Arabidopsis thaliana: one gene and its partner. The protein of the gene in region 1 interacts with the protein of each later gene in a pairwise test. Each region holds a gene or a part of one and is shown in the gene's direction. Other genes may lie near its edges.

The links. Proteins that work in one complex are often made in the same cells at the same time.
Region 2: the proteins of MYB23 (region 1) and TOE3 interact in a two-hybrid assay, tested with the Arabidopsis thaliana proteins (one large-scale study listed by BioGRID).

What each region holds. Positions count from the first base shown.
Region 1 is NC_003076.8:16,123,961-16,132,622, forward strand, and holds MYB23 (myb domain protein 23), read left to right. Parts: upstream 1-3,764; 5' UTR 3,765-3,888; coding exon 3,889-4,021; intron 4,022-4,150; coding exon 4,151-4,280; intron 4,281-5,111; coding exon 5,112-5,508; 3' UTR 5,509-5,701; downstream 5,702-8,662. Other genes in the region: AT5G40340 (Tudor/PWWP/MBT superfamily protein), read right to left, coding at 7,694-8,662. UniProt on the Arabidopsis thaliana protein: Transcription activator, when associated with BHLH2/EGL3/MYC146 or BHLH12/MYC1. Regulates the epidermal cell fate specification. Mediates the formation of columellae and accumulation of mucilages on seed coats.
Region 2 is NC_003076.8:26,799,534-26,806,144, reverse strand, and holds TOE3 (target of early activation tagged (EAT) 3), read left to right. Parts: upstream 1-1,895; 5' UTR 1,896-2,210; coding exon 2,211-2,551; intron 2,552-2,634; coding exon 2,635-2,660; intron 2,661-2,767; coding exon 2,768-2,798; intron 2,799-2,899; coding exon 2,900-2,987; intron 2,988-3,096; coding exon 3,097-3,242; intron 3,243-3,345; coding exon 3,346-3,390; coding exon of another isoform or gene 3,391-3,475; intron 3,476-3,481; coding exon 3,482-3,576; coding exon of another isoform or gene 3,577-3,641; intron 3,642-3,651; coding exon 3,652-3,728; coding exon of another isoform or gene 3,729-3,779; intron 3,780-3,816; coding exon 3,817-4,026; 3' UTR 4,027-4,196; downstream 4,197-6,611. Other genes in the region: AT5G67170 (SEC-C motif-containing protein / OTU-like cysteine protease family protein), read right to left, coding at 4,382-4,484, 4,564-4,661, 4,757-5,008, 5,076-5,225, 5,315-5,399, 5,475-5,536, 5,620-5,769, 5,849-5,924 and 2 more.

The sequences.
Region 1 (8,662 bases):
AGAATATGTGGTAATTAAATGAATGAGTTAAAGAATAACACTGACAAAGTGTATCTAGCAACATACCTCATTACAAAGGTAGTCAAAGTTCTCATTCCGTTTAAAACGGAATGCAATGGTAAAAATAAAATAATTTCATATTCTGTAAAAGCTATAGCCTTATAATTTACAAATTGCTACCACACAGTTATTTAACGAAAAAAATCAAAGCCTCCAGTAGAGTTTTCAGCATTTTAAGTAAGTAGATATTTTTAATTAAACAGCCATGAAAATATTAATTTTTTTTTTTTTCATCCAATTTTAGTTAGAAGTTTAAAATGTCAAAATTAAAAACATTATTTATAGAAATGATAGAAATTGATTTGATGTGAACTTTTCGCATCAGATTATCCGTGTTGAAATATTAAAGATAAAAACGAAATGTAACAATAAAAATTTGAGGGGTCACGAGTCATGGACCTTTCGTTAGTGTATTTCTATTTACAGCCTACCCACTTGTGATCGACACATCAATGATTAGGAAACCTCCTCTTTATTTGGAGTACACAATAAATTCATAAATTAATTAATTATTGAATGTATAAAAAATTGCACGTGACCATTTACAGAAAATAAATTCCAATTAAAATCAATGTGTGAATGAAAATAAAACATGTCGATTGCCAACGGCTTGGTTAGACAGACAATAGCGTGTTCTGAGTTTGACTGTGCTAATGGTATATTGATGCCTTCTTTTCTTGTATAACATCTCCCAAAATACCTACCAAGCTTATTAGCACAAACAAAGTTCACTTGAAGCTTTAAGCTGTCTCATGGACTTTGTTTTGTGAGATTATATGAGGTCCATTAAAATTTGCCCCGACTTTAAAATCAAAGAAAAGAAAAAGAAGAAAAGAAAAGAAAATCGAGAGTGCATAGAAAAAACTACAAACGCTTTTGATCTTATTTGGAAGTTCAAAATACTTTTAATTAACTATCCATGTTGATCACAAAGAGATTTCTTTATAAAAAAACTTTTGGCACTTATATGACACAAAAATCACTTCATATATATAGTTGGTAACTTATCCTTAAATTACTATATCTTAAGGAGATCAACTGTTGAATCTTTCTCTAAGTGATTTAAAGAAAATAAGAAGATAAGTGAAACTGATGATGTGCTAGTCAAATTGATATTTTAAAACATCTTCACATGAACAACTATTTTTAATAAATTAGGTATTACAGTCACTCACTTACAAAGTATGATGTTTTCATTTACAAAAAAAAAAAAAAGTTGTTACTCACTACAATGTTAGTCTAAAATGCACACAATAATCTTGGTAGGACTCTCATACCATAAGGCCCTTTAACTACCATGCACTCCACTGGTGATTTCACGTTTCTTTTCGGTTTAGTTTATTGGTTTTAGAATATTAGTATAGTTTGTTGTTCAAACGGGAAAAAAAAAGAATATTGGTATAGTTTATTATTTGGATCCACACAAGACTAAAATACAACAAAAATGGGTACATTTAAATTCTTTTTCACAAGATGTTTATAATGATTTATGGGAGATTTATAACAAACCTTATAAATTATTGATGGAAAATCTAAATGTGAATAGCTCTATACAGAAATTTAAAATAATAAATGAATGCAATGAGATGAAATGTAAGAAGCAAAAACAGTTTAATTACACAATTTAATGGTTAATTTCTATTTTTTTTTTCTTTTTCTAATAATATATAACTAAAGTATCATTTGACAAATGCATTTAAGAAAGGAAATTATATTTTAGTAAATAACAAAATAAAGATTATAAAAGGGTATAGTTGTTCTTGGATATATACTTTAAGATTATGCCTATTTTGGAGAAATTTCTCTCATGAAATATTTTAGGAAGATCCTTTATGATTATATAATATCATATTTATGATACCATTTCTTAATATAGTAATTTATGTTTATTGAAAATTTTATCCCATGCAATGTCAAAACCTAGTAGAGAATTAAGATTGCTTAGCTTATTTTTTAGTCTATAGGACTTTACGAATACAATGTATGAAATACGAATGTTAGTGTAGTTAATTAATAGATTAGATGATCAACATCAACTAGTTGGGTTGATCTGAAAGTAAGTTTTGGAATTAAAAGGATCTATAGGTCCTATATCATTAATTATCCATAAAACTAATAAAAGTAGGCTAAATCAAGTGGAAGCTATAATCTATAGACGTACATAATTCATATGCCCGACATAATATATTTAGTGTAGTGATTATCATATTACATTACTGTCTAGAGTTTGGTATCACGGATACTTATGTTTTTGTATCAAAGATGTTTAATTCTATAGTTTAGTTATAACTTATAACTGATAACATTGTTTGGAGAATAGTAACTATTCTTAAAGCAAATTTTACATGTTAAACTCTTTTGTTTTTGTTTTTTTTTGTCAAAGTTGTGTATTCCTATTTCCTGAACAAAACTATTATATACAGACTATATTCGTATATTATATTTTTTGTTGTCAAAGTTGTATTTTCCTGTTTCATACTATATATATCGACTTCAACTCCCTCCATTGGGATCCGATCCAAAAAATAATACTCATATGAACATATACACACATGACATATTGACATATCTTAGCTGGATGAGCCAGAGGATCTTCTATGTTTGGTATTAATATAAAAAGTAAAAACTGCCTACTGTCTATCCCAAGGGAATATTATTGTGTCCAATAGTAATTACCTTCCTTTTTTTCAATTTTCACTTCTACTTAACTTGTTAGTTGGGATACACATGTCTACCTAGACATATCTTGTTACAGTTTTTACATACTTTATTAGATATGGATAAATTTGGTTATAAATAAATCCCAGATTTTTCTTTCAAAACATATTTACTATCAATACATTTTTAAAATGAAAAACAAAATGTGAGGCTTGAGTATAACATATGTAAAACAGGTGTAAAAAAGTAAGGAAACAGATATAGATATATAGTGTTACAAAAAAATATAATACAAATTTAATTTAATTTATAACTTTTGGTAAATTATAACGAGCAAGAAATTTGAAACTCGGAATATGAAGTAAATTATTTCGTTAGATCAATAAAATATTTTTCTAACGGGTGTTAACACACACCACAATTTTACGTGGACGTTTTTGCTCTTAAATCTCAACTAAATTTTAGATTTTTAATTTTTAGGCAAAGCGTTTCCAAATCTTTCTTATAAGAAAATATACAATAGAAGAAACATAGTACACCGTTTTCAACTAATAGTTGAGGAATATTGAGTTTATTCGGATCACATATTTTTAGTATTGTTCAACCAAAACCAACAAGATAGAGAGTCAACAAGCCCTTCCAGTTCTTTATATAGTTTCCCTACTAAATCCATCTATTAATCAATTTGAGAACAAACTCTTCAAATCCTCTATCTCCTTTTTTGATAAAAACATATTTTTACTTTGCCACAACTAACTAATACTATACTTTATTTTATTTGATGAATTCTCTCATATATTAGTAAGAAGAACATGTTGTCTATATCTACACCCGTTTAAATGGTTAAATCAATTTCGTTAGGTTGACTTATTGGTAAAAGAATGTAGGGATTGACTTTACCATATACGGACTTTTTGGAGAGACAACAGCAAACAAAACAAACATGTCCTTACGTATATATATATACGCACATATACATGTAAACAAAACAATATATACGTCACACGAATCATATATATATATAGAGTCAGGCTCGACTAATCATCACCGACTCAGCCACTTTCTCTCTCTCTCTCTCTCTCTCTCTCTCTCTCTCTCTCTCTCTCTCTCTCTCTCTCTCTCTCTCTCTCTCTCTCTCTCTCTCCTCGGGATCAAGAAAAGTGAAGAAGAATGAGAATGACAAGAGATGGAAAAGAACATGAATACAAGAAAGGTTTATGGACAGTGGAAGAAGACAAGATCCTCATGGATTATGTCCGAACTCATGGCCAGGGCCACTGGAACCGCATCGCCAAGAAAACTGGTATTTATACTCTCTCTTTCTATTATAGTACTCTCTTATTTCTTCTGGTATACTTGCTCTTACTTCTCTCTTTCTTGTCCTAAGAAATAAAAATTAGTACTAAAGATTGAAACTTTTGATGATAATTAGGGCTCAAGAGATGTGGGAAAAGCTGTAGGTTGAGATGGATGAACTACTTAAGCCCTAATGTTAACAGAGGCAATTTTACTGACCAAGAAGAAGATCTCATCATCAGACTCCACAAGCTCCTCGGCAACAGGTTCTTTTTTTTCTCCATATATTCAAAGATATATATTTGCTTAATTTTCTTTTATACAATTCTAATAGTATTATATATGTTAGATCATGTGTTTTGTTGTTCGGTGCTGCATTCACGTGAATCTTTAAATTGTTTATATGTGTACAGCTTGCTAGCTATATATCACATATATCTAATCCATAATTTATATATTTATAATATATGTTTTGTTGTTCGATCCTTAGTTCACGGTAATCTCTAAATTGTTTATTATTATTTATTTATTTTTGGTTGAAACATCTCTAAATTGTTTAGTTGTGATATAGATTACTTATATTTAACTGATATATTATATTCATTTATTCATAAAATAAGTGTATTTTATTAAGCTACTATTTACAAACGTCCACAAAGCAAATAATGGTTATTCAAAAATAGTAGTAAGAAACGGATCGTAAATTTGAATCAAAAATCTTAGATCTGTCCTTTGTTTTTTCGGCCATTAATTTGTATAGCTAGGTTTCTATTCAAAAAATATGCTTTCTCGAACCTAACAATGATTCATAATTGTACTCATTTATGGATCATCTGTATATATATACACATGTCTCATATAAACATCTACAACATACATAATCTGGCTACATGTATTACGCACATGCTCTATATAGGTCCATGCATAAGCATTAACTCCGTTTTACAAGATTTCTTGTTTCAAAAGTTTGCCACATATTTATAGCACATTCGAAAATCCATATAGTGTATAATACAATATTTATTTATTATAATTGAAGATTAAGAGACCACAAATAAAAATATTAATCTAACATCGTAAATTCTTTTAATATTTAGATGGTCGTTGATAGCGAAAAGAGTTCCGGGAAGAACAGACAACCAAGTAAAGAATTACTGGAACACACATCTCAGCAAGAAACTTGGTCTCGGAGATCATTCAACTGCCGTCAAAGCCGCATGCGGTGTAGAGTCTCCACCGTCTATGGCCCTTATAACCACAACGTCCTCCTCTCATCAAGAGATCTCCGGTGGAAAAAATTCAACTCTAAGGTTCGACACTTTAGTTGACGAATCCAAACTCAAACCAAAATCCAAACTAGTCCACGCAACACCAACTGACGTAGAAGTTGCAGCTACGGTTCCAAATCTGTTCGATACCTTTTGGGTTCTTGAAGACGACTTCGAGCTTAGTTCACTCACTATGATGGATTTTACTAATGGGTATTGCCTTTGAATATCTTTGATGATTAGCTTCTAAAAAGTAATTAATTATCGAATAATAGATTATAATGAACAATAATAATAATATGAATACAATTAAATTTTTTTCCGAATATTTGCTTGTAGCTTTTGTACTTTCTTTTGTAAAAGTAAGGATGATCAGTTGATAAAAAAATCTTATACTAGAAAGTTATTTGGTTATGTCCCTAATGTAACCAACTTAAATATCCTATTAGTTTACAAGTTAAGTGTTTATACTTCTACTTCATTCGTACATTGGCGTTCACATAAGATTTTCCGTATTTTGTACAGAAAAGAACAACTTAATCAAATTAAAGTGATAACTAGTGCATTTTCAGCTGTGAAAACTAACTCTTGGTTTCTATATCTAATTCTGGATTCTCCAAAAAAAAGGTCAATCCTAACTTTTAGTGTAGTGGAAAATACAGACTACCAATATCTAATTTATACTGTATCATTTAGTTTGGCATCTTTCTAATAATGATTTATACTCGAACATTTATAAATAAATGGTATAGTTTTAATATGTGAGAAAATCTAAAATGATAAAAGGAGAGTAAAATATAATCTTCGCTTGCATAAGGTCGGAAATTTTTTCATTTTAAGTCAACAAATATGGTCAACCGAGATAATCCAGCTGTTACAAGCCTTGATTCTACGTATCACCCGCTTGTAAGATTTTTATAAAATGAATGAGGTCTTGTCAGGTTAGGCTCTTTGTGTCTCTTAATTATACATTAATTACATTGACTAATGTTAGAGTTCTGAAATCAATGACGATTAATCTATCATACATATTCATACTTTAGATAAGACCAGACCTCGTACGTTGGAATTTGAAAGTTAGTTGAAGAAGCCAAGACTGTTAGAGATTATTTTTTCTGGTTGACTTAAATAAATTGTTCCAACAAAAAAGTAAACCAAATCATTAAAACGTATTTATGTCTTAAAATTAAAACCAATCACGTTAACGTGACTTGGTAGATTTCGTGACAGCAATGGATATCTTGAATTCTCATCTTTTATTTATGAATTGAGGAGCAATATAATCATCTCACATTTATTTTGTAAGAATTTATCATTTTATGTCATTTATTTACTAAATAATTTTATATTTTATTCATATTTAGGCATTTTAATTGTTTCATAATTTTATTATTATCATAGATGTGATAAACTAAAAAATAGTAGATATATTGTCCCGTTATTTTTTCTTATGTATGTATTTTACTGCACATAAATTAATCTTCTGAATTTTTTATTTTTTATTTTTTTTTAATTTTGGTAAAAGGTGAAATTTTATACCATTTTTGTTTTTGACAGAATTACAAGGAAAAGTAGAAGCAGAACAAAACAATTTACAGAAAATTAAAGAACAACATTACAACTCTAATTGCAAAGGATCGCCGATGAGTGATCAAGGCCAAGTTAGGAGGAGAAACACCGATTCCGAGTCCGCGAAGCTCGGAAATTTGCGTTGTTGCCGCAGTACCGAAGTATTGGAATCCTCATCCTAGTTGCCACGAGCATGATTATTCAAGGTCCGTCCACAAAACCTCAAAGATAGAAGTCTACAGCTTCTCCGAGAACTAACGCAAAAACGAACAAGCAAACATGAACAAGCAAACATGATTAAGCCTAATGTTCTGAATTTGATAATTGAATTTGAAATTGGCCAAATATCTTAATTAACTCTTATACATTATCTGGATACATTTTTTGTGATCAATCAAATGGTTGAATTTGTTCATTGTCTTAGAACATTTATGTTGTTGGATCACTAATTAGCATTACGTAAATGATTCAGTCTCGACGAGACTCCCTTTCTAATAAAAATCTCCAACCTCCCTCTTTGTATGGCTTCATCAAACATTCAATACTCGTCGAAAGGATTTTGAAAATTTTGTTTGTAATATAATAAAATTAGTGGGCTTTCAAGAGAGTGATAAACCAAAAGCCCACTAATGGGTTTAGTATCAAAGTTGGTAAACTTTAAAAAAGTCTACACAAAAACATAGAACATCGATCTAATTCTGTCTACCCTACGACAAGATCATAGTATCACCAAGACATTAACCTCTCAAAATACTTTTGTTATGTTTTGCAGAAACCATAAATATCCTAAAACCTGTCCTGAAAGTTCTCAACCAACAAAATAAAAACATAAAATCATAATCCTAAGAAGATCTCATCTCTATCACTTTCTCCAACAAATTTACCATCTCACCTTCAAGTTTCACTTTCACTTCTTCAGTCATTCCTCCTTCGCATCCATCAAGTAACAATTTCATCTCATCCAGCTTTTTCTTCAGATATTCCACCTCCATTGTCGTCTCTGCAACTTCAGCTTCAGTTTTCTTCTCCTCTGTTCTCTCATTTGGATACTTGAGTCTGAATTTCACCGTCGAATTAGAAGTAAACGGACATTTCTCTAGTGAGGATTCAAAGGCTTTTTCTCCATCAGCTACATCCAAGAAAGCCACATGGGCAGAGAAGTTGTTGTCGACCGTATCAGTTCTCTCTTTGTCCAAAGCTCCAAATTTTTCATATATTTCAATCAGATCTTCCTTTTTAGGCAAACTTGAACCAGGACCAAATGTAACATATAGCTCAGCTCCTGAAAATTCCGTCTCAGTTTCTTTCTTTTTAGACTTTCCCTCTCTCTTCTTTTTCTTCTTCTTCTCGGGTTTCTCAGTCTCATTCGGGACTTCTTCTTCGTCGTGTTTAGGCTTCTTCCGTTTTCTCTCTTTCTTGGTTGATTCAACAGACTCTTTCCGGGTTTCTTCTTCTTCAACTGCTTCTGCCTTCTTCTTTGATTCAGGATTCTTACGTTTTCTCTCTTTTTTAGTTGACTCACTTGGCTCTTTCTGAGTTTCTTCTTCTCCATCTGATTGCTTCTTTGATTCAGACTTCTTACGTTTTCTCTCTTTCTTTGTTGACTCATTAGCCTCTTTCTGGGTTTCTTCTCCTTCACCCCCTTCCTTCTTTGATTCAGACTTCTTACGTTTTCGCTCTTTCTTCATTTTCCCATGCTTGTCTGTCTCATTCTCTTCTTTACCAGTTACCTCTATCTCCTCTGCTTTCTGCTTTGCTTTACCCTTCTTATCTTTCTTCTCTTTCCCCTTAGTTACAGGCTTACCCATCTC
Region 2 (6,611 bases), about 11 Mb from region 1:
TTTAGTCAGAAACTGGATTATAGATCATGATAAGGTTGAATAAGATGTGGACAAGCACAAACCTATTTGAAAACGTCGTTATTCACATTATTACGCGTGTTACTTTTGTTAAAATGTGAGTCTTTCGAAGTTTGAAATTGGATTTTGATAATATATGTGAAGAAGTATAAAATATATGAATTCTAAAACCAATAATCCATCATAAATACTGAACATACACATATATCCTAGATTTGATTTCTATAGATTCGCTATTGAATAAAAATATATGGTACATGCATGCTAATCACTGATTAATACTTTGGTAACAATATATCTTCTTGTGGCATCTTCAAATTGGTTGGATTCCATGATAGGGGAAAAAAGCTATCTACAATCAAAAAGAAAAACGCCATCCGATATGATTTGTTAGCGAGACAAATGTGGGGCTAAGATTGCCATTATGGGAAATGTGGGGCTAAGATTGCCATTATGGGAGTCGATATATGCGTAGAGAGAAAGAGGGAGAGGGAGTTTTTGTAATTACTACTTAGGGAAAGAAACAGAGAGCATCAAAGCATCGTCATAGTTCCATTAGGGGAAGGTTTGGCTTTTTCCTCCCCCACTTGTAATATTATTCTTTCACGCTTTGGATCTCCTTTTACCCACACCTATTCTTTGCTTTAGTAACTACTAAACACGTATTTAGAAATATGCGTTTTGAAATTTTTTAAATACAAAAAATTCTGTGTGTCAATATAGACAATTTTATTCGTTCTTTTTTTTTTTGGGTCAGCAGACGCTACTAATTAAACTTGAACTTGTCTCAAGAGAAACATGCAAGTATAAGTACGATTCTGAAAAGAAAATGATCCACTACAAAAAAAATAAGTATAACTATATCAGTATCAAGATTCTGTTAACATCATTATAAAAAAAGTAAAGTAAAACAATAGTTGCATACTTGCATGATGAATGATTAACCAGAGTTATGATTATCTTTTTATAAACGATAACCAACTGTTGCAATAATTTTTCATTGCTGATTTCAAATAAAACATTACTTTAACGATATGGGGGAATTTTTAAGAAACAGTAGAGACGTTAATAAAAATCCCATATGCGAGAAATCTCAAAAAGGTTATATGTCGAATACATTTTCAAATTCATCTATTTTTTTTCTTTCTAATTTTCTTAATTTTTTAAATAAAATGTCGATGTATATGAACATAATAAAAAATGGAGAGACAGGATGATTATTCTTTCTGAGTTGATGTAAATACCTTAAGTAAATGTGAAAACAATGATTAAAAATCAAAATGTGAAGGGAGAGTGAGTACACGCGCGTATAACAAGAGAGTGAAGGTGTAATCAAAGCAATGGAAAGAGAGAAAAAGCTGTTTCCCGTACTCTTGGATAGGGGCATTTTAGGTATTACTTCGTTTTTTTTCTTTTCCCATCACATTATTTCCGTTTCCTTTTCTTCTCCTACGAAACTCTTTTACACGGATTTGTTCATCCTGTTTTTTGTTTTTGTTTTTACACATTTGTAATTTTCTATATTCAACAAATATACAGGGAATTACATTTTTAAAAAAGTTTCGCTCCACTAAACAAACATAAAATTTTGTTTGTAGATAACAACATGATTATGTTGTTGATGTTGAAAATAATCATATGCTGCTGAATTGATGTCCCAATTTGTTTTCGGAGAAGAAAGAAAGATATAAATTATAGTCCTAAAATGATAAATTGTGAGTAGTTGGAGTAGGAGAAATTAAATAGGACAATAAATAAAAAATAAAGATACTCCCATCTACATCCTACATTTTAGTCCATAATAATTTCAGCAAACTTTTGAATTTCTGAATTTACTTGCCCTTTTTATATAAAAGAAAAATGTGATGTCAATACTCAGGAGACCAAAAACTAGGAGACAGTCTAATACACTTGTATTGGGAAAGAATCAATTTTCAAAATGAATTTCTTCATAAATATTTTTTTTTCCTTTGACTCCTTTCATTGATAAAAAAAAATCCTGCACCTCTCTAATGATGAATACTTGAATAGAGTCAGATATTTATTCTATTAAATAATTTAGTTATTTATTTAGAACCTACCTTTATTTGCTTTGATGGTTATTCTCATCTGAGTTTTCTTCTTCTCTCTTATTTCTCTCCCAAGTTTCTTATTTTTTTTCCTCTTTACTTTACACAAAGGAACAACAAATAATGTGGAACCTTAACGACTCACCCGATCATCACGAAGAATCCGACAGTAGAGGGAATCCGGTCGGACACGTGTCAAACGGGATGAGTCAATCTGCAACGTGGCTACCGTTTGTGCTTCCGGTGACCAGGAATTTCTTTCCGGCTCAAAGCATGGAACCGGGAGTTCGTTGGTCCGGTTTCAATAGTGTCGGTAAGTCGGATCCAAGCGGATCGGGTCGACCAGAAGAGCCGGAGATATCACCGCCGATAAAGAAGAGCCGACGTGGTCCTCGCTCACGTAGCTCTCAGTATCGAGGAGTTACGTTTTACCGACGAACCGGAAGATGGGAGTCACATATTTGGTAAATCACATAATACCTTTTAAAACCATATGTAGTGTTATCATTTCAATTATTTTCATAAAATGTTTTGGAATATTATGCAGGGACTGTGGGAAGCAAGTGTACTTAGGTATGGTTCATATACATAAAAATTACGATTTAACTTTTGTGTCTTCGATTTATTTGACAAAACAAAGGGTTTTGTTTCCTTCTAATTGTTGTTACATATATATGCAGGTGGATTTGACACTGCACATGCTGCTGCTCGGTATATTTTCGAACCTAGCTAACGCATTACTATACTAGTATCATTTTTTGTTCATTATTTTGTTATTGGCTATAATATGGGTCAATAAATATTTGAGACAGAGCCTATGATCGAGCGGCGATTAAATTCAGAGGTGTAGATGCAGATATTAATTTCGACATTGAAGACTACCTTGACGATTTGAAACAGGTTCTATATAAGTCTTTTATGGATATATCTACTTTAGGTTATACTAGTAATTTAATTACTTACTACTCAGAAGAAAACACAATGAAATATTGGTTTTTTTTTTTTGCAGATGGGAAATTTGACAAAGGAAGAGTTTATGCATGTACTTAGAAGGCAAAGCACTGGGTTTCCAAGAGGCAGTTCTAAATACAGAGGTGTTACTTTGCACAAATGTGGAAGATGGGAGTCACGTTTGGGTCAATTCCTCAACAAAAAGTATTAATTTCTTCATAGTTTTTGGTGCAAATATTAAATTTCCAGTCTGTTTCTTATTAATTTGAAGTGTCCTGTTTGCTTTTTTTGTTTGCTATCTTTTCAGGTACGTTTATTTGGGTCTCTTTGATACCGAGATTGAAGCTGCTAGGTACTTCTTCATTATTCACTGTCTCATCACCAAAAAAAATATTTACTTTTTTCCTGGTACGAAATATGAAAAAACTGAAATTTGAATATAGAGCTTATGATAAAGCGGCAATAAAGTGTAATGGGAAAGACGCTGTTACCAATTTTGACCCTAAAGTATACGAGGAAGAAGAAGATCTTAGCTCAGGTAAATTTATTTTTACTTTTTTTTTTTGTCTTAAAATTTACTCCAGTCACCAGATTCTATTGTAAAAATCAACAGAGACGACGAGGAACGGTCATAATCTTGGTCTAAGTCTAGGAGAATCATCATCTGAAGAGTTTAGACTCAAGTCTGATGTAAGTGTTCATGTTTGTGTATGTATATTGTTTTTGTCGGAAAATAATTAAATTGGTGATATAATTCATATGTATGATAATTTTAAAGATTGCAAGCATAAGAAGTAGGATTAGAGATGAGGAGAGATTATTAGGGAGCGATCTATCGCTAGCAATGATGACGACGACTGTCAGATCGGAAAAGCAGCAATCGGACGGTGGAGGAAATCGAGTGGTGGGAATGGCAGCATCATCAGGATTCTCTCCTCAACCTTCCCCTTACCGCATTCCTCGCACCTTCCACTTCTCTCGTCCCTGATTCATCATCATCATCATCACTATCATCACAATCATCATCTGAGCTAGTGTTAACCAAGTTATGCTTTAATGAATTTGAGTTATTCTCGAGCTATTTTTGGGCTCTGTAATACATATATGTTCTTGAGTACGGTATAACAAGTTTTTTTCTTTCTGTTAATTTAATCAGACAACAAAAAAGGTATACTCGCGAGTGATCCTAACTCCAAGTTCATACTAAATTTATGTCTTCGCCTGAAATAGAGAGATAACCAAACGGATTTAGTAACCAATTACTGTTCTTGCTAAACAGATAAAAGAGTTTGGTGTGAATAAATGGAGTGAAAACGTGATCACCTTGAGTGAGTGAGACTTAATTATATACAAAGAGCACCAACATCTGGTGCATTTGCTTCAACTTCATTCGATGTTCCTCTTCTCAAATTCTTTCTCCCCTTCTTCGACTCCATTGTTTGGCTCCTGCAAATTAATCAAGAAACACTCATCTTTAGTTAAGTTCTGCTTTGAGTGTTTTGCAGAACCGTTTTAAGAAACTTACACTAACAGTTTTACAGAGGATCTCCCAGTTGCTGTTCCACAGCAGGACTTGTATTTCTTCTTTGAACCACATGGACATGTTTTATTCCTTGGGATCTTCTGCAGTTTTCACAGAAATCCTTTTATATTCGGATCATATTTTAATGCAATCATAAGGAAATAAGCTATCTCATGGTTTAAGCGAGCCAACAAACCTTATCATCGGTCTGTGTAGTGCACTTGGCTTGGACTGTTTCACTGTTATTGCCGCTAGCTGATTCCTCCTCTATCAATTCTTCTCTGGCTTGCTCGGTGTTTTCCATTGGACTATCACTTGCATGCTTTGGGTTGATGGTATCTGATGCAGAGGCGGTTTCTGTATCATTTTCAGTCAAAGACTCCATTCCTTGGTCTGCTATCAGGAATTCTATAGCAGCATCCACATCACCATTAACTTGTAATAGAACCTAAAGATAAGAGAGGACTAATGATCATGATATTCTCTCAAACATTAACCAAGCATCGCATTATCACCTGTTCAGCTTTCTCAGTATTGTCACAACAACTACCAGACATGACAACTTTGATAGCTCCAGCATTCACATGACACTTATCAGCTTTATTTTTGGACTTGCTCTCTGTAGCTTTCGCTTGTTTAGATGCTGCTGAAACTTTAGCATCAGCCTTCCACACAACTGGAATTTATTAGGACAGAAAAACAGACAATTTATGTATATTACAGATAAACACAGAGCTAAAGTTTGAAGTAAAACCTCTATTACAACAGGCCTGGCTGGTCCTCCACAAGCATCTTCCTTGGAACGCACACTGTTGTAGTGTTCCCCATCATGGTAAGACCTGAAAGAGAAACTATTAAAGTAAAAGCAAATTCAAACCGATAAAAGAATCATTAACAGAACCAAGTATACTTACAGATGGATCATGCGGGTTCGCGTATCTTCAAAGTTGCGTATATACCAACGCGGTGACATGTTCTGCAACATAAAGATACCACTGCTCAAACAAACGTATCGATAAAAACGAAGCAGATGATGAGAAGAGGCATTGTTATTATTACCCTGTGAATACATATATTACTGCGAGTGACAAGAGAAGCTGCTTGTAATTCCATATTCCCAGCCCAAGTTCCATCATCGTCCATGGTTTTACAGTAATCCTCAAAAGGAACATCATCTTCGATAAAAGGCTCGAACATTTCACGATTTTTCTGTCAAAAGCCATCAAGTATTGTATATACATATAGAGAGACAGTTTCCAAATATCACTAAGTAATGGCTGCCACTTACCACTATATAAAGTACAATCATGTTACGGTACTTGTTGTGTTCATCCTCATTGCCTTCTAATTGATCAGCAATTGCTCTGTGAAAGAGAATCACTATTCAATCTAACACGATTGCTTTGTTCTTCAAAAAACAAATCGAATTCGATGATCAAAGCAAAAGACATACCTGAAGAAACAATTACCGTCAGCAGTCACTTGGATAATCTTAAGCCCTAAAGCGTCAAGCTGAGCACGAAATTGAGAGAGATCACAATCCTTTCCTTGCTTCTTTTTCAAATCAACCACACAAACAAATTACAATATTTTCCACAGAGCAAAACAGGCCAATACTAATCGAATCAGACTGATTTGGGAATACAAAAATCATATATTGAAGTTGAGAATCATGAAGAAAACCTGATGCGGTTGTTTCTTAGGCTTAGATTTCTGTTGTTTAGTTTTCGCCATTATCAAATCAGATACAAGGAAGTAATACGAAAGCTAGTTGTTTGTCGGGTAGTTGCGGCGGCGCAATGAGGACGGTTTCGTCGCCGCCGAATCTCCGGTACATGAAGAACAACCATGTACGACATTATTGGGCCTGATTTGGCCCATCAAGAAACAAAACTATAGGCCCTTCTTCAAAATTTATACACATCGGATAATTAAAAGTTCTGATCAAACCAAGGATTAAACACGTTACATATTTCTTAATTTGTGTATTTATAATACTGTAGTTATGATTATTTATCTTTTTAAGAAAATAATTTCACACACTTATCTAT